2 linked regions of the Sus scrofa genome follow. The protein of the gene in region 2 interacts with the protein of the main gene of each other region in a biochemical or structural test. Links are inferred from orthologs where the notes say so. Each region holds a gene or a part of one and is shown on either strand. Other genes may lie near its edges. The genes, in order: FBLN5 and LOXL1.

Region 1 (9,716 bases), about 54 Mb from region 2:
CCAATTCCGAAATATCAGTAGGAAAAAAAGGACATTTATGAAATGATCAAGAAAATGTGAACCCCGTCTGGATACTTAATGATAACTAGGAATTACTGCAGCGTTCATAGTGGTATTGCGGCTACTGTTTTTTTTGTTGTTTTTTTGTTTGTTTGTTTGTTTGTTTTTTGAAAGACGCTTTATCTCTTAGAGATACATGCTGAAGTATTTAAGGGTAAAGTAATTTGATGCCTGAGATTTGCTTTCAGTTGATCCACTGGGTCAGAATAAAGAAGAAACAGGAATGGGTCTGTATTGACAATTTATGAAGCTGGGTGATAAGTAGGTAAGTGTTCTTTATGCACGCTCTGCTTTGGTCTAGGTCCAAAGTTTTATTTGAACAAAAATTTATGTCCCGAGAACGCCCTAGTTTCTCATCATTGCTCCAGGACTGGCTGCTGGGAGGATGGAGGACACCTTTACCTCCCTGAGCCTCCGTCTCCTCATCCCGAGCTTCAGTGGGTTCAAATCTGGGCTCAGCCCCCAATTGCTGTGTGACCTTGGACAGATTCTTAACCTGTCTGTGCTTCAGGGGGCAACGAGGCGAACAGGAAGAAGAATAGTCCTCCCGCCTAGGGTTGTGGTGAGGGTTCCGTATGTTCATTCATGTAAAGATCCTGGCATGCAGCACTACGTGAGTGAGTGCTATTATTACTACGGCTGCTGTCGTTGCTGTCGTTGACTATTTTCTAGGTGGAGGAAGAGGAGGAGAGGGCCCCCTTGGAGCTGCGGTCCTCCTCTCCCAGAACACCCCTGTTTCAGAAGCGCCTTCCAGTTCTACCTGATCACACAATTGCTCAGGGCAGCTTCCTGCAGGATCAGACCCAGGTTCTGGGAAACAGAGATGTGCTCTCTTCTGGCGCAGTGACAACCTGCTCACCTCTCTTCCCAACAGTGTCCCCCTCTCAGCTCCTTGGGTTCCTTCCCCCTCTTCTGCTGCCTCCGAACTTTGCTGCCCTTTGTCCTGTCCCCACCCCTTTCCAGCGCCGCCCCTCTCACAATGCCCAGAAGGCCCCGTGTAAACCAGGAAACGGCAGGCAGGGTGGAGGGGGGGCGGTGAGCAGGAAGAACCCGGGCCTTCTGAATGCCCGATGCTGAGCTCTTTGGAAGTGGACGGGCCCGGTGCCAGTCCTCACTGGGGTTCCCAGACTGTATTCTTCTTACAAAAGGGCCATGATGGAGGCTCCACATCTCCTGTGGGACAGGTTGGGGGCCATAAAACTGCATGATGTCACATGGACCAGGAGATGAAGAGGTTTCCCAGATGCAGCCTTATTCTCAAGGGCACTGGGATCCTGGAAAGCGGGGTGTGGGAGGACAGGGGGCCCTTCAGAGAGCCCCACAGCCTGTCCCAGCTGTTCCACAAAAGGGGCCTGTGGGATGGCCCAGGACATCCGGGGAGCGGCCTGCCCCGTGGCTGCGGCCACCTGAGGCCCCCTCCCGGATCCTGGAGCGCTTCGACGGGTCATTACACCCCCTTCCTCCCCTCAACACCTGCACAGGGCCACCCGGCTTATCCAGCCCCACATCCTATAAGAGCAGCACCTCCACCTCCAACCCCCCTTTCTCTGCATTTCCTCTGGGATCATTTCTTTTCTGCCAAACGAGAGAGGTCAGGTGGGTGAGTTAAGAAAACTTGGCCAGGGAGTAGGAGAGCTGGACTCCCATCCAACCTTGGCAACTGCCTAACCTGGTAGAGTCCAGGTTCTCTTTTTCATCAAATGAAAAGGCTGCCATTAAAGAGTGTTCAAGTCCCTTCCAGGTACAGAGTTCCATTGCCCTGCTGGTTACAAGGAAGTGTGTTACTATCTTGCCCACCAGCGCTTCAGTCCAGGGCTCAGCTCGACTGGGTGCCACACTTCTTCCCCTGGTACACTCATTTATATTCAAAATGACCACCAACCAGTTCTCCCCTGCCCCCCCCCCATACACAGACATCCCTCCCCTTGAGACTAGTGAGAACAGAAAATTTTGGTTAAGGTGTATCCAGTTTTCCCTCTTAGCTCTGAAAGACACTGGTTTGCATATTATTGCCATGGAGTCAAATGGAAATGCACACGCATTTGCATGAACAGACAGAAGACAATACAAAATAACCAACACAGCCTCTCTAACAGTAGATAATGGCTCAATCTACTGAGCCCTGAAATGGGACCAACAAAAATCTCCCTAAGCCGAGTGATGGCCTCCCAAACTTTCAGGGTATAGAAAGGCGATATTAGAATTTCAATTCACATTTATTTTGCTCACATCGAAATTTAAATTTTAAACTTTCTATCTCTTACGTAGGCTTTATACTTTTCAAGCCATATTAGAAACACAGGACATGTGTGTAATTTATAAATATGCATATAGTAAAGATCCTGGGTCAAAAAGGTTTTGCGGATGGGGTGCATCACCACAAAACTTTGGGGCCCTCACCACTCTAGACCAGTGGCAAGGTTTTGGTCCAACCTGAGCCAAAGTGAGCAAGGAAGATCCCAAGTCTCCGCCAAGGCCACACGGGCCAACAAGGCACCCAACACACCACTTGCCAATTAGCCTGGGGACCTCACGGCACATGGTGTCCCTTCTTCCCCAAGGTCTACTCTTGCCATGAGCTCTCAGCAGCAAGGCTCCTTTTGGGCAAAAGAACACTGGTCCCCACCCAAGGAACCCACCTTCTTTCCAGAATAGTTGGTCTTAGCCTTCAAGGCTTCTTTACCTAAGGAGCCGGTGCTCCACTCAAGGGTGAGTGGAGTTGAAGACTCTTCTCTCCGGGAATCACTTACTAAGTTTGACCAGATATACTTGTTATTGAAGAGGGAAAATATGAGCTTGGTCTTTAAATAGATAGAAAATAGATGCCATGAAAAGAGAGATGATGGATAGATAGATAGATAGATAGATAGATAGATAGATAGATTGATAGATCGATAGATAGAAGGATGGAGAGAAAGAGAGAAAGGAAGGAAGAGCGAAAAAGCAAATTGGCTTTCTGGAGAAGAGCCAGTGAAACTAAACTCCTCCTTAGCTGGGAGGGCACCCAGAGACACAGGCCACTGAGAGTGAAAGAACCGCATAGGATGTATGCTGTTTTACCAGTGCCCTGCATAGCAGCTGACATCCCATCTGGTGGACCTGCTGGATGAGGGCACTGCCATCCTCAAGCAGAGGGGCAAGAAAGCCTAGGACGCTGGGCTACTCACCCACACACTGGTTGCTTTCATCCATCTGGTATCCAAAGCGACATATGAGAGGCCTCGAAATCGTGGGGTAGTTTGGAGCTGACAGCGGGGGTGCAGCTGCTGGGTACGGCCCTGAGTAGGGGTTGGAGTAGGGGTTGGAGTAGGGCCCTCGGTACACTGGGTTCGTTCGGGGGATGCACAAATACCCGCCGTTTTGGTTAACACACATCATGTCTCCTCGGCAGGCCTCGGGGATAGTCCGGCACTCATCGATATCTGAAAGGACCACAGAAAGGACAAGCGTGAGTGGCCCTCCGGCCATGCTGTGCGTGTGTAAGCAGAGCTCTGTCCCAGGAGCACCACGAAGGACCCTAAAACACTCTCTACCAGCATCTGTTCCCAAACACGTAGGGTCGTTCCCGGCTCATCGTTGGCAGGCACTCTGCAAACACTGGCTGAATTGAATCAAACTGACAGGTGTCACCCCCAACACGGGCCACCCAACACCAATGTCGTGATGTTTGGCCCACAGCTACAAAAACCTACACTGTCACACGCTTCATCCTTTTCTCTAAATGAACCCGCATTGAAAACCCAAGGAAGCATTTTTTTTTCTTCAATCTTACAGCAAATAAAAAAACACTATCAATTATCAAAAATAGAAGGTAAGAATAAAAATAAATATATAACCATTAAAATCAAGAGTGTTTATCTGGGGTGCCCATATGATACTGGGAAACACCGGGGCAGGCATAATAATTGCACACACTTCTACTCCAAATAACAGCTGGGCAGGGAGAAAGCATCCCTTGTATCCAGAAAGATAAAGCTTGGCCAAGGCCTAGTTATATGGTAGGAAAGTGGAGACTCACTTGAGAGTCAGCTCACGCTGTGCTGACAAACAAGACCCATTTCCAGCCAGGCTAGTGCTCTGCTTGTCCTGCCTAGAGTCGGGGCCGTAAAGGGGCAGGGTTTTCTCGAAAACCAGCTTTTTGAGGCCTGAACTGGGGTGCCAGCATGAGCAGCTGACCTGATCCCACCTGCTGGAGCCCCTCACCAGTCTAGGGTTCTGCTCCACAGGGGATCAGAGGCTTGGCAAGAGAGGCCTGAGTCCTGACCGCTCACCCCACTCATCTCATCAGAGACACTCTTGCCAACTCCCACCCCAGGAAAGAGAAACGTGGAGCCCCGGTCTCCAGCCACGAGCCTGCAGTCATCATTAAAACTGGCCAGAAAAGATGGCTGCCACCCCCCTCTGCTTCCCTTGGCACATCCTCAACCCCCTTGACTCGAAGTCAACATGCAAGCCACGAGCTTCCTCACCACGTGTCATTCTTTTCAGCCCTAAACTCCGAGATTACAAATGATTCAGCCTAAATTAAACATCATTTAGGAGTTCCCGTTGTAGCTCCATGGTAACGAACCTGACTGGTATCCATGAGGATGTGGGTTCAATCCCTGGCCTTGCTCAGTGGGTTAAGGATCCAGCACTGCCATGAGCTGTGGTGTAAGTCGCAGACGTGGCTCGGATCCCGCATGGCTGTGGCTGTGACATAGGCTGGCAACCACAGCTCCAATGTGACCCCTAGCCTGGGAACTTACATATGCCACAGGTACGGCCTTAAAAAGACAAAATAATAATAATAATAATTTAAAAGCTAAATATATCCCCAAAGTAAGGGCCTTTTTCTTTTTCTATACCCTATGCGCCATCCACAACAAACTATTCTATTCTCTGAATGTCTTTTCTACCCCTGGTATTTGAATACGCCATTCCTACCACCTGAAATGCCATTTCTCAGGATCCTATTCATCCTTCAACACCTAATTCAAACGTGACCTCCACGAAGGCTTTCTTTACTGACACCAGACATAAGGCCTCATTCTCTCCCCTACTTCTTTCCCCCCGATCCCCAGCCCTGTAGCATGCAGAAATTCCTAGGCCAGGGATCAAACCCATGACATGGCAATGACCTGAGCCACCAGAGATCTTCCCTCTCCCCTATTTCTGCAGCACTGACTGCCTTCATCTCAACTTGACAGTGACTTTACTCCACCCTGTACAGTTTCCTCCGTGTTGTCTGCCTTTCCCATGAGATGGCATGCTGGGAGAAGAGCCCCCACATGTTCTCAGAACAGGATGAGAATTAGACCTTGAGATGGGGGGACTACCTGAATTATCTGGGTGGGCCCAATGGCATCCCATAAATACTTAGAAGTAGAAGAAGGAGCAGAAGGATTGGTCAGAGACAAGACAACAGGGCAAGAAGAGACTGGAAGCATGGGAGGGACTTAACTTGCTGGCGTTAACAACGGAGGAGGGGCCCTGAGCCAAGGGAGAAGGTGGGCTCTAGGACCTGAGAAAGGCCTTCAGCCAACAGCCAGCAAGGAAACAGTGGCCTTGGTTCTACAACTGCAAGAAACTGAATTCTGTGCAAATATAAATCAATACAGCCTCAATGGAAAGCAGGATGGAGGATCCTCAAAAAAAAATTAAAACTAGAAATACCCTATGATGCAGCAATTCCACTTCTGGGTATATATCCAAAGAGGAGAGATATCTGTACTGCATGTTGCTGAAGCATTAGTCCCAACGGCCAAGATATGGAAACAACCCAAGTGTCCATCAATGGATAAAGATCTGGGAGAGATAGATACAGATACAGATACAGATATGCATACACATATACATATATATGATATAATAATAGTAATATGAATATTATTCAGCCTTAAGTAGAAAGAAAACCTGCCATTTGCCACAACACCGATGGACCTTGAGGGCATTATGCTAAATGAAATAAGTCAGATCAAAACAACTACTGTGTTATGTAACTTATATGTAGAATCCAAAAAAGGCAAACTTATAGAAATAAAGAGGACAGTGGTGGTCACCAGGTAGAATAAATGGGGAAACACAAAGGGTACAAACTACAAGTTAGAAGATGGGTAAGTACTCAGGAGCTAAAGTACCACGTGGTGATTATAATTCACAATCCTGCATCATATACTTGCAAATTGCTAAGAGTGTAAAGCCTGAATGTTCTTACTACAGAAAAGAAATGGTAATTATGTGATGTGACGGAGCTGTTAGCTAAGCCATAGTGGTGATCACATTGTAATATGTAAGGGTATCAGGCAACACGTTGGACACCTTAAACTTACAGTGTCGTACGTCAATTATCTCAGTTTAAAAAATAAAACCTGGAGGGTGGGACCAAGATGGAGGAGGCGTAAGATAAGGTGCTCACCCTCTCACATAAACACACAAACACACACACAAAAAAACCCATCTACATGTACACCGATTCACACAGAATATCCACTGAATGCTGGCAGAAGACCTTAAACCTCCAAAAAAGGCAAGAAACCCTCCACATAACTGGGTAGAAAAAAAGAGAGGGAGCAAGAATCAGGACAGGACTAGCTCTCCTGAGAGGGAGCTGTGAAAAAGAAAAGGAACACACACCCTGAGAGGCCACCTAACTGACAGGGAGATCAGTCGAGAAGGAGGGATCTCAGAGCCTCAGGGAAAAGTGCAGCAGCTGGACAGAGGAGGGCAAAGCAGAGAGAGAGCAGCATAGACCATCAGTACCACCTCCCAGGACACAACAGCCTGAGATGCTTGGAAGGGGGCTGGGCGCTGAGACTTAGGCTCTGGAGGTCAGTTCCAGGAAGAAAACTAGGGTTGGTTGTGGGGAAACAGCCTAAAGGGCCAGGGAGCACTGCATCAAGGGTTGGAGAGCAAAGAGCCACAGCCAAGGAAACCAGGGAAGAGGTATGGGCCTTTAGGAGAAGCAAGGCACCATTGTTGGGGAGGGCGAGAGGAGGAAGGGCGGACTGCCATAGGAATATCTTTCTCTGTGCAGGTGCAAACACTTGGAGGGCAGGGCTATGGGCAGCAAGGTGCCTCTTGTACAGGCTATGGGTAGCGATGCCTCCTGCATGGGCTAAGCATGATGGGGCACCTCTTCCGTGGTCTAGAGGTGGCAGGGTGCAAACCATCATGGTCAATTCAGACCCCAGAGGTGGGCATAGCCCACCACCACTAGGGGTCCATGAACAGCCACTACCTGCAGACCCAGTCACCTCCAAGGTTGGCACAGAGGAGGGCACTGCAACCAAGCACCACTGGTTGTTGCTCTCACTCCCCTGGGAATGCACACACTCTGCCACTGGCACTACCAAAAGCTCCAGGCGCCACCTACACCTGCCTGAGGGTCACCGCCACTTCCCAGAGCTCCGCAACTAGGAGCAGCCTGCACCACCTTCCTGCAGGTCCTTGCTATTGTCAAGGGCCCAGCAACCAGGCACTGGCTACTAGCCCTGCCCATTGCCTCCATCTCCCAGGAAGCATGCATAGCACACTATCAAGGGGATAACAGCCTGCACACACTGAGGAAAGAGACAGCAAGCATCCAAACCAAAAGCAGCCCTCATACCAAAAATAAATAGAAAGCTCTCACAAAATATCCAGGGGCACTTCCACATATAAATAGACCTTCAAGACTATAGTAGTTGTTTTCCCTAAACCCACAGAATAAGAAAAATACAAGCAAAATGAAGACACTCTGGCACCATTTCCAGTTAAAAGAGCAGGAAAATTCCCCTGAAGGAGCAAACAATGAAACAGACCTCTGCAGTCTGACAGACATTGAGTTCAAAAAGGAGATAGTTAGGAGTTCCTGTCGTGGTGCAGTGGTTAACGAATCTGACTAGGAATCATAAAGTTGCGGGTTCGATCCCTGGTCTCACTCAGTGGGTTAAGGATCTGGCGTTGCCGTGAGCTGTGGTGTAGGTTGCAGACACGGCTCGGATCCCGCGTTGCTGTGGCTCTGGTGTAGGCCAGTGGCTGCAGCTCCAATTAGACCCCTAGCCTGGGAATCTCCATATGCTGTGGGAGCAGCCCTAGAAAAGGGAAAAAGACAAAAAAAAAAAAAAAAAAAAAAAAAAAAGGAGATAGTTAAAATACTGAAGGAATTAAGAGCAGATATAAACATTAACGCAGATTACTTTAGACAGGAACTAGAAAATATAAAGAGGAGCCAAGAAAAATTAGAAAATTCATTTGCAAAAATGCAAGCTGACTTAAAGGCACCAAAGAACAGAATGAATAATGCAGAAGAACAAATTAGTAACTTGGAAGATGGAATAATGGAAATCACACAATCAGGACAGCAGGCAGAAAACCAAATGAAAAAACATGAAAGCAATATAAGAGATCTATGAGATAACATAATATGGGCCAATCTATGCATAAGAGGAATTCCAGAAGGAGAAGAAAAAGAAAAGGGGATTGAAAATATATTTGAAGAAATTGTGGTGGAAAACTTTCCAAATCTAAAGGATAGAAATATCAATATGCAGAAGCAAAGAGAGCCCCAAACAAGTTGAACCCAAACAGGCCCACACCAAGACATATTATAATAAAAATGGCAAAAGTTAAAAATAAGGACAGGATTCTAAAGGCAGCAAGAGAAAAAGTCTGAATTATAAGAGAACCCTCATAAGGCTATCAGCCAAATTCTCTACAGAAATACTATAGGCCAGAAGAGGGTGGCAAGATATATTCAAAGTTCTAAAAGGGAAAAATTTGCAGCCTAGAATACTCTACCCAGCAAGGATATCATTTAAAATGGAAGAAGAAATAAAGAATTTCTTCAAAAAACAAAAACTAAAAAAGTACAGCAATACTATACCCATTCTAAAAAAAATACCGAAAGGGCTCCCCTAAATAAAAAAGAAGAACTAGCATGGAGGAAATCACAATTGAAAAGTAATCACTTAAATAAGCCAGTATACTGATCTAAAAGGGAAAAAAACAAAACAAAACAAAACAAAAAAAAACTACTGTAAAAGCAATGACAAACAGAAGGAACAGCAAAAGGATAAATATGAAGATGCTAAAAAAGATATCAAAATCATAAAATGTGGGGAAGGAAAGTAGAAAGAAAATCTAGACTCTTTTTTTTAGAGTGTGTTTGAGCCTATATGACTATCAAGCTAAAGCAAGCAGGTATAATACGGAAGGGGTTAAGATACTTGAAAAATAGGATACCCACAAATCAAAACCAAACAATAAATTCAGAAAAACTAAAAAGAAGAAGACATGAGCATAAAATACAAGGAAGTCATCCACCCAAAAAAAGAAAGGAACAAAGGAAAAACATAAAATCAACTGGAAAAGAAGGTTAAAATGGCAATAAATACATATTTATCAATAACTGCCTTAAATGTCAACGGACTGAATACTCAAACAAAAAACATAGACTGGCACAGTGGATGAAAAAACAAGAGCCTACAATATGCTGTCTATAAGAGACTCACCTTGGGGCAAAGGACACATAAATTGAAAGTGGGCTGATATAAAAATATATTTGATATGAATGGAAAAGACAGGAAATCAGGAGTTGCAATACTCGCATCAGACAAAATAGACTTTAAAACAAAGGCCATGAAGAAAGACAAAGAAGGACACTATTTAATGATGAAAGGATCTATTTAAGAAGA
Region 2 (10,213 bases):
AGATGACAGGCACAGACTGAATTCAGGCATGGACACTTTGAGCTGGGAGCTCTCGCTAGGTCTCAGTTTCCCCATCTGTACCAGTGGACCATAATCCCCACCTCTCTAGGAGAGGCAGGGGTGAAGGAAATTGCACATTCACGCCACCACGCTCAGCAGGTGCTCCTCTGCAGAGGGCTGAAGTTGTTATCACCATCCCGCCTGGGGGCTCCAACTCCGGGTGCTTGTTGGGTGGAGGCCTGCCCTGTCCTTCTCCGTATCTACTCTGAGCCTTGTGGAGGTGGGTGGGTGGCCCACAGAGGGGAGGCAGCCTGCGAGGGGGAGGGGCAGGCTGTGGGGGTGCAGCAGGGAGCCAGGGCTGCTCTCAGGGACTAAAGGGCCCTGTCTGGCCTCTTGGAGGCAGGAGGCTGGATAGAGAGGGCTGTGCCCTAGACACACCCCTATGTGAATGCAGGGCTTAAAACACCTGGGCTAGGGGCAATACAGGATGCTGTGGAGGCCGGAGAGAGAGAGAAGGAGGAGGGGAGAGAAAGGAGGTGCCTCAGGTTCTGGAGCAACAGGCTAGAGCATTGAGATTTTGTCCTAAAGACCTTGGGAGCCAGAGAATCTTCTTGACCGGGAGAGTACCATGGTCAGCAGTGCAAGGGTGTATCTGCCCCATGCTTAGGATGGACTGAAAGTGACCAGGGAGGAGGCAGCCACGGCTCCGATTGGCTGTGTGAAGACAGGGATGGAGGACCCACGCCAGGCCAAGCTGGCACAGCCATTGGAGATGCCCTGGGAGGACAGCCAGGCGGCCTGCTCCATGTTACTTTCACAGGGTTACTGGAGCCAGTGAATCAGGCCGAGGGTGTGAGGGGGAGGCCCTGGGAGAAAAGCCATGGTCTCCTAGGGCCAGGAGTCATCTTAGTCCACACGAATGCCACTAGCTCAGAGGTGCTAGGCTGTGGAGAGGCAGAAGCAGGGCCTGGCCGTGGCAGAGGAGACGCCCAGCGCAGGGGATGCAGCCAGGCTGGGAAACAGGCAGCCGCCCTCTGGGCCTCTGCATGGATGTGCTGTGACCAGCAGGCCAGGTATGTGACCTGGGCCTCTGTTGCCTCTCCTTCCCTCCAGTCACGTGTCTGAGACCACAATAGTGCCGGAGGCTTTGGGCAGTGTTCCTCCCCACAGGGTGAGAGGGAAGAGGGTGCAGGCGCCCAAGGAAGAAACCAGGCTCTGGACAGGCGCTTGGAAAGGGCCCAAACGTGGAGGACGTGGGTGGTGCGCACATGTGTTTGGTGTTGTGAGGACACGTCCACGCCCACACACATGCGCACGGGCTGCCAGCGCCCAGCCTCAGACCCCTGGGTGTGCGGCCAGGAGGAATGAAGTCAGTTTCGGAGAATCCGCTCTGGACGCCCACACCAGGCCTGGGGGTCTGATCTCAAGCACAAGGCTTGGCCTTCCCCGAACCGGGATTTTCCACGGGCCCAGCTTAGCAGGGTGGAAAGGGGAACAAATGATGGGTGAGAAGGTACTGCTCCCTCTCTGGCCTCTCCGTGGACCCTGATCTAGCCTGCACCCCCCCATCCCCCATGACCAGAGAAGGGACACCTGCAGAGTGCTGACAGCATTCCTGTCAGCTTGGGCATCTCCTCCTCTGGGAAGTCCTCCCTGAGCTCTGAGCCCTGATGGGGAGGACCGACCCATGGGTTCCCTTAACCTACCCCCCCAGTGCCTGCCCAGTTGTGGCACTGAGGTGCTCCCTTTTCTATGCCTCCTCAGGACAGGGTCTGGATTCATATGTGGCATCTAGTATATTATCTTCAGGGGAGAAATGTCTTCAATCCAAAACAAACCCTGGGGCTCAGGTGCAATGGCCAGAGGTCCTGCTAAGCACCAAGGACCCCCCCACTCCAGACGCGGCCTTGCCCGGGCTAGTCCCCTCTGAACCTCAAGAACTGAGAGGCCAAAGAGGAATCTTAGAATGCCCACTGGCTTAGGGCACAGCTGTCAAGTCCCAGGCCTGGCTCAGCCAGCAGTGCTATTTGAGGCCTCGGTTTTTCTCTTCTGCCCAGAGGCGGAGCTCTTCTGGCCGAGCCACCCTGTGGTCTTGCATTCTAAGAAAAGCCGCCACAGAAGTTTAGCCTATAGGTAAAACTGCTCTCCTCCAAGGAGTTCTAGGAGTAGCTGAGGCACAGCAGACACACACCCAGCTGCAGGGATGCAGCAAGTCCTGGTGAGGCTCAGATGAGGGTGAGGCGGCCTTTATCACATCACAGAAGGGCCCTCTGTCTACCTCCCGACCTGAGCTCCTGCGGGTTCTCAATGTGGGACTCAGCCTCCACTGGAGTGCGATCTATGTCTTGGATGTGGGGGAGGGCGTACTACATGGGGACACTCCTCTCCCCTGGCCGGGAGCTCCAGCAGGCCCTGGAGAGGCAGGGGTTGCCACTCCTCTACCTCAGCAACAGCCTCTCACCCCAAATCAGTACGGCCGGAAACAAAGCAGTGTGCCCGTGCTGACAGAGGCACAGGACAAAGGCTGGGGGTGCAGTACCTGGGTCCCTGGGCCCTGCAGTGCTCAGCCCTCACCTGGTGGGCCTTGCACAGCTGCCTGCATGTGGAACAGAGAATCAGGCGTGGAGAACCAGGGCATTAAATGAAGCCTACAAGAGGCAAGGCTGGGCTAGAACGCATATGCACCAGGGACTAAATAGAAAACCCTGACCAAAGCTTACTTGGGACTTACAGAGACAGAAGCAGGAAGGGGAATTCTAGGACATTGGAGGTTAGGCCAATAGCTGTCCAGCCCTGGCCAGACCACTAGTGGGCCCTTGCCAAAGTGGCCTGCCTGCTAACCACACGTGTGGAGTTGCTCATCTGAAGAAGGAAGCTGCCCCTTCTGCTGTGTCCTCATGTGCAGATGGCTTGGGCTTTCCCATGATTAGGTCATATCTTCAACACCCCCTGTACCCATGTCCACAGCTGCCTCCTGGGACTCTCCAACAGGGCCAGGACAAGGGTGACTGAGGCCCTGGCCTGGGGTGCAAAATTTAAGATGGCGCCTAAAAACTCAGTAACTAAGAAAAGTAATAATATTTGAGACAATATCCCACTCCTTTTTTTTTGGCCACACCCATAGCATGCAGAAGTTCCTGGCCAGGGATTGAACACACGCCACAGAAGCGACTGGAGTCACAGCAGTGACAATGCAGGATCCTTAACCTACTGGAGCCACAAGGGAACTCTGAGCCAGTATTTTTACAATTCAACACTGATGCATAAAAATATCTGTGATGAACAAAACATCAAAATTTCAAATAAAGACATCAGTATTGCTGATTTTTCAGTCTGCCTCAGGCTCGAATACAGTTTGGCATGGCACCCTTACTGGTTCTATTTAAAATCAGGATATTTTGTTCATCTTTTTTTTGGCATTTTTTAAAATCTAAAAATGTATTAAACTATTCCTTATCTTAATTACTGAGTTTTTTGGCACCCAGGCCAGAGCCTCACTTGCCTCTCTAGTCCAGACTTGCATTGTCCCCCCTGAGGAGCTCCCCCACCCCAAGAGCTCTGGGTCATCTAGTCTGCTCTCCTGTCTTGGGCCAGAACCTTCCTTAACCTCCTGCTCATTCAGGCCAAGCTCACATATGCCCAGTGACTGGGAAGTTGCCACACCCCCAGAGGCATCTCCCAAGGCCTTTCTGACCCGTATGCTCCCTTCTTCACCTTGAGAGGCTGGCAGAGGGGCCCCTCCAAGTGTAGACAACATGCCCTGATGGGAGAGAAGGAGAAGCGGGGAGAAGGGTTCCTTTACGTTGTCCTCAAGTGACCCAAGCCAGTTCTGGAAGGCGCCTCCTTCCAAAGCCTTGTCCAGACCCACCACCTTCTACCTTCCCAAGCCAGGGTCAGGGCCTGCGCAAATCCTGGTGCCAATGACGATGGTAAGGCCAAGGAGGGAAGCATTGGGTTTGCCGTCGCGGGCGAGGGTGCGGGTCCTTCCTTAGGAGCTGGGGGATGCTCCCCGGAAAGGAAAGGATCTGGGTCTGGGCGCAAGGCTCTACTCACCTCGACCGTTCTGGTTGGGCCGGTACACGCTGCCCACACTGAGGCGGCCCTGCTGCGCGCCGCTGCGCTCGGAACCCGGTGGGGGCGCGTCGGAGCTGCGCACGGGCAGGTAGGGAGGCTCCAGCACGCGGAAAGGGGGCTGCGGCTCCACGGCCCGCGGCGGGCTGTAGGCCTCTGGCGGCATGTTGCCGTAGGGCGGGTACCAGCCGAAGCGGGGGTCGCCGCCGTAGGTGCCGCCGTTGGGCTGCGCGGCGTCGGGGCCCGAGTCGGGGTAGGCCTGCTCGAGGCCCGCGGTGCCCTCGTGGTACAGGCTGTGCGAGTAGCGGCGGTCCAGGCCGTCGGCGGGCTGCGGTGGCGGCTGCGGCGCGGGCGGCCTCTCCAGGGCCGGGTAGAAGCCCTGCGGCGGGTACTCGGGCTGCTCCTCGCCGCCGCCGCCGTACTCCTCGTAGCGCGCCCGGGGCTGGGGCTGGAAGGGGTAGACGACCCCCGCCGAGGCCACGGCCGCCGCCCCTGCTCCCAGGCCGCCTCCCGGGCCGCGGTAGTACACGTAGCCCTGGTCGTAGGTCCGCGACGCGGGGTCGTACGTCTCGTACTGGCTGACGAAGGGCGCCTGCGGGTAGGGGAACTGCTGCGGGAAGGAGGGCGGCTGGCGGTAGGTGGTGGCGAAGGCCGAGGCCGAGACCGAGGAGGCGGAGCCCCCATGCCGTTGCTGGGAGACGGAGGTGCGGACCCGGGCCATGCCTGTGCTGTCCCCGACGGCCACTTCGCGCCAGTTGTCGGGCACCTGGCCGAAGCCAAAGGGGTGCCGCGCTTGGCCGCGCACGGTGTCCGAGCCGACGCGCCCGGGCAGGGGCAGGGATGGGGCCTGCCGACGCCGGAGGCCCCCCTGGCTGCGCCGCTGCGGGGCCTGGGGGGCTCCGGCCAGCAGCACTCGGGAGTTACCTTCGGAGCGCTGAGGCCCCGCCGGCACGTACTCGGAGCCCGAGTTGAGCAGGCTGTACACCTGCCCGTTGTTCTCCCACTGGATCAGCTGCCGCCAGCGTCCCGGATCTGAGCCCTGCCCCGGCTGCGCCTGCTGCCCATGCACCAGCACGCAGAGGCAGGCGCCCCACACTAGGGCCCCCAGCTGCCAGCCGGCTGGGGCCAGAGCCATGGTGGCCCCTCTGCAGAGGCCTGATGGACCGAGAGGCTCTCGGGAGTGGCCCCCTGTGCCTGCTTTTCTTCCCACGGCCTCGAGGACAGGACGGCTCCTTGCCTGCCCCAGCTCTAGCTTTGTCCATCCTGGCCTTGTCCCGAGCGGGACCGCTCCTCCGATGACAGCATTTCGAGGCCAAGGGGTCAGGGCAGGGCAGGGGCGGTGCCCAGGGCTGCAGGAGGCTCTCTGCAGGGCACTGGGCAGGCAGGACTGCCTGGGGGCCTTACATGGCCAGCCCGGCACTGGCTGGCCGCTTGGCTGGCGCTTTCCCACTCTGAATGAATAAGCAACAGGCTGGGAGCGTCAGGAGGTTTTGGGCAGCCTGGTCTGCCTGCTGGGGCCTCCTCCGCGGGGCCCTATGGCCCGCCGGGTTTTAGCTATGTGGCCTGTCCCACAGCTGCTGTGCTCCCTCAGTCCCTGGAGCTCCCAGCCAAGCCGCAGACCTGCCTTTGAGGAAGGGAATGAAGTGGGGAGTAGGAAGGGGCCCCTGGGGACTCAAGCCTGGTGACTGGGGCCCTGGCAGGCAAAATGGGGCTGAAGTGGCAGCACCGCTCAGGCCATTTCTCTCTGCTTTAGACCCAGCATCCTTGGTCTCACCTTACTAGCTTCTGGTTTGGGTTTGAATGAGCCCTTGACTCCTGTCCACTCCAGTCTCTCCCCAGGGCTCCCATTCTCCAAAGCAAGTGCTGAGACACCCTCCTTGTCAGTGGGCTTTCTTGGGGGAGTTGCTGAACCCGCAGCTGAACCATCCTTTGATTCTTTGACCTCAGGTGCACCTTAGTTCATTGGGCCTGAGTACAAAGAAGATGGAACTTCAGCCTTTTCCCTCTTGGCACACCCCTGGGGCTTTGCTCTCCCAGTTTGTAGAATGGGGGTGTGTCCCTGTGCTGAAAGGAACTTGCGAAATCATAGGAGAGATCAACTTGCTGCCTATCGTGTGTGGTTTCTGTCCTGCATCTCTGGAGTCGACATAGCCTAGAAATCACTGGAGTATACACAGGGATAAAATGAAACCTGGGGCCTGTCTTTGATACCGGACAGGAGTCATGGGGAGGCACCATGTGCCGTAAGCACAGAACAGCAGAAGGGGGGAACTCGAGGAATGAGCTAGTCCAGCAGCTGTGATTAAGCTGCTGGGTGATCTGGGGCAAGCGCCTTCCCCATTCTGATCCAGTCACCACATCTGATCAGTGGAGGATTAGACCGGCTGTTTCCTCAAGAATGCTTTGGCAGGTTCTCTAGCCTCTTGGCAAAAATCAGAGGGGCTTCAGAAGTTTGGATGCTTTGGCCTCCAAGAAATCACTCTGATGCCTCCCCTGGGCTGCTTTCTCCAACCCTGGTCATGGGAACCGGAGGGCAGACATTCCCCTCTTGTGCTTCCACACCAAGGACAAGAACCTGCCCTTGGTCTCTCCAGGTTCCCCTACTTTGAAAACTCCTGGCGCCCACCTTTGGAGGAGACAGCAAAAGTGGACCTTCCTCAAAGACCCTGGACCACCCCCCCATCCATACCCGTCAGCATTTGTTCCATCACACTGTGCCTCAGGATGAAGTTTGGTTCAGGTGACTCAGGGCACCTGTCCACCCTCACAGTCCAGCCAGCAGCCATTCACAGCATGGCCCTTGGCTCCCTGGTGTGGGGTTTGATCTTAGATACCAGACAGGACTCCTGCAAGGAGCAACTGGTTTGGCTCGGGACAGGAAGCCAGATGCCCAGCTGGGCTCACTGAGGCCTGGGACTGGGAGGGTTAAGCCTTCCCTCCCTCCCACCTGCCCCCTGCAGCGGTGGCCTCAGCCTCTTGGAATCCCTGGGGTCCTGTAGGGCCCTCCCGCCAGCCAGCCAGATGGGCAGCAGCGCCAGGAGAGGAGGAGGGAGAGCTATGGAAACAGGCCTCAGGGTACCCCCAGGTGGGGAGGGGGAGGGAGAAGGAGGAACAGAGGGAGAACAGAGGATGGCTGAGAGGTAGGGGAGCCCTGCTGGCAGAGTGGAGAAGGCAGGACCCCTCTTCTCCAGCCAGGCAGGGGGCAGGGGCTGCCTCAGGGCTCTGGAGCTGTGGGGATCAGGGCACAGGCCATTGTGCTCAGCCAGCCTCTGCCTGGGAGCCAGCTCTTGGCGTGAAACCCTACCCAATGCTGGCTCCTGCTCCTCTTTCTTTTTTCTTAATAAGGTCGAATCAGAGTGAGTCAGAGGAGCCAAGTTTCCTGTTAGGCTCTGTTTGAATAAACTCTGCTCTGAACATAGCTTGGGCCTCTGCACAGGCTCCCGGGGCCAGGGCTTTGGCCCTGCCAGCCGTCTCTGCTGAGACTGGAGACCTGGGGTCCCAGGGTGACTGAGCCAAGGTCCTGGCCTGACCCCCAGCCCCTCCCCAGGGAAGCCTTTTAAGCTCTCAGAGCCTCAGAGTCTTCATCTGTAACTTGGGAGTAATAATACCTTTCTCGTGGTATATTTGGGAGGATGAAACAAGAGGATTATGAAAAGTAGCCAGCGCAGTGCCAGGCATATGGCCACTATTTTTCTTTCCTCTTAGACCAGTGAGGGAACAAGGGCTTTATCCCCAAGGGTGTCCACCCTCTCCCATTTTCTCTGTCCCTTTCCTATTTTTATCTGCCTTCAGCATCCTTCCCTGTGCCCAGCTGGGGACAACCCCCTGGGGCCTGTCCTCTTCCCTCCTCCGCACTTCCCGCCCCTCACCTTCCTTCTCCCTCCCTGTCCGGGTCTCACAAAGTTACTGACAAGACCCCCTCAGATCGCTGAGCCCAGGGGAGCCTGCCTGGTTCCACCTCTCCACACGCAGGGCAAGGCCTTGCCTGAGTAGCTGGCAGCATCCTGGCTTCCTTTGATTAGACCCTGCAGAGTGGGGATCTGAAGAAGACCTGGGCAGTCTGCAAAGGGTGCAGGGCTGAGGTCAAATGAGGGCTTCGAGGCGCCAGGCTAGACTGGGGCCGAGCTGTCTGGAGGTGAGTGGAGTGGCAGGCAGCTCTTCTCTAGGCCCTGTCCCTGCAGGCCGGGTTCATACCCTCAGGTTTAAGATCTAGCCATGTGGCTGAGGCTTGTTGCCAGTCCCTGGCACTAGGAACCAGGCGTAAGGGCTCTTGGAGGGCTGAGGGTATGGAGGTGCAAAAGCTTGTTGGTAATGTGTGACTTTATTAGAGACCCTATTATGTGCTCAGCTCTGGACCAGGTTGTTCTGCCACTAGGCTTCCCATGGGACAGCCCTTGTCCTTTGATCCTAAGAGAGAACTCCAGGCTCTGGAAAATCCATTGGGGAGTGAGGAGGCCTCAGACCCAACCCACAGAAGGTTTAGGGAGCAGGGAAAGGGCAGAAGCGGCAGGATCCTTACTGCTTCGCCCAGGAAAGGATCAGGAGGCCCGCCGTGGGTCAGGATGTTTCTCTGGTTGGGAGGAAACGATGAGGCTGGCTCTGGGCACCCCTGCCCTCTGTGCCCCACATGGAGCAGGGCTGGGTCTCCCCCGCCCACCATGATCCCTGGCTGCCGAGCCCAGGCCTCTTGGAAAGGGCATCAGGAAAGGCCATTGATGAGATTTGTATGGAACTGGGGATGGAAGCCCCGGCCAGGCAGCGCTGGATTGTGAGGCCCCAGCCGCTGCCTCTGGAAAGTGGGCCGGAGGAAGTGCTAAGCGCGGAGGCCCGGGCAAGCTGGCACAGAACACGCTGACTCTGCAGGGAGAGGACCACCGAGTGACCACTGCCAGCTGGGCCCTGCGCCCACACCCTCCCCTGCAGCCACATCTGGTGCAGTGGTGGGGGAAGCAGGGGGGTGTTCCGTCCCCAGAACTAAGACAGCCTTGGAGGGGTCCACGGAGGGGGCTGGGGCCCTTTGGTTTGGAAGTGTCTCTCTGCAGGGCTGGAACTCAAGAGAAGCCCGGAAATGGGGGAGGTGAAGTCAGAGCGTTTTTGAGGGACAAATGGGGTGGGGGATGTGGGGCGGGAAGGAACCCACCCTTCTCTAGGACCCAGGGGAAATCGGTAGCTCTGGCCACCTCCCACTCGGTTTTCCCTGCTGGCTCTGGGGGCCCTCTCCCCCATGGTTCCCTGGGGAATTGGAAATACCAGAGCTGATAGAACAGTCTGGGGATTGAGGCAAAGCTCTGTGAGGCAGGAAGCCTCCTCGATCCCCTGATCTCCTCAGCCACCAGCCCAGACAGCTTCTCCCCCTCCTGACTTTCTCCCCCTCCCCAGAGACAGGCGGGGCTCCGGCGCCTGCTGAAGGCTAACATTCCCTCTCCCCTTCCCCCCAACTCCCTGTCCCCTCTCTTTCCGGGTCTGGAGCTGGCAGAGGCCAGGAGGATCCTTATTGCAGGATCCCGCAGAAAGGGTCCCAGCCCAGGGGCCTTCCTGGATAGCAGCTAGGGCCTGCGGGCTGGGAGAGCCCCAAACCTGGAAAGAGTTGGAAGGGGTGCTCCGCCAGCATGCCCTTGTGAGAAGGGGGTAAGATAGTTCCCTGCCCTAAGGAGAGCGGGCAAGACCAGACAGGATGCTGGTCCCTGGGCTGCAGCCCTGCAAACCCTGGAGAACAGTCAGGGAGATGAGGCAGGAACCCCAGGGCCTGAGAGCTGCAGGCAAGCTTAAAAGGGAAGGAAGGCTCTTTTCTCTCTTCTTCTGCTTCTGTTTTCTGGCCTTTAGATCTCTAACTTTCATTTGGGTATCTCTGTGTTTCTCTACCTTTTTTTTTCTTTTCCCCCCAAACCCCCATTTTCACATTCATTTATTCATCATTCATTCATTTTCTCCGTCTCCCTCCATTCGTGTGGCTTGCAGTCTCTAGTGCTCCTATTCTTTCATATCTCTCTTACTCATGGAGTCTCATCAGTCTCATCTGTGTTTCCAAATTACTCCTTCTCTGTCCCCTCATTCAGTCAGCATGTTCCCTGGGGGCCTGCTGCATGCAGGCCCCATGCTGGCTACGGGGGTCCCCAAAGAGCAAGAGCTCGCAGTCTGGTGG

What was found.
Region 1: the proteins of LOXL1 (region 2) and FBLN5 form a complex in vitro, tested with the Homo sapiens proteins (2 studies listed by BioGRID and IntAct). The link is inferred for Sus scrofa from reciprocal best matches to the Homo sapiens genes LOXL1 and FBLN5.

What each region holds. Positions count from the first base shown.
Region 1 is NC_010449.5:113,489,520-113,499,235, forward strand, and holds part of FBLN5 (fibulin-5), read right to left. Parts: intron 3,483-9,716; coding exon 3,228-3,482; intron 1-3,227. UniProt on the Homo sapiens protein: Essential for elastic fiber formation, is involved in the assembly of continuous elastin (ELN) polymer and promotes the interaction of microfibrils and ELN. Stabilizes and organizes elastic fibers in the skin, lung and vasculature.
Region 2 is NC_010449.5:59,499,614-59,509,826, forward strand, and holds the start of LOXL1 (lysyl oxidase homolog 1), read right to left. Parts: upstream 5,549-10,213; 5' UTR 5,207-5,548; coding exon 4,054-5,206; intron 1-4,053. UniProt on the Homo sapiens protein: Catalyzes the oxidative deamination of lysine and hydroxylysine residues in collagen and elastin, resulting in the formation of covalent cross-linkages, and the stabilization of collagen and elastin fibers.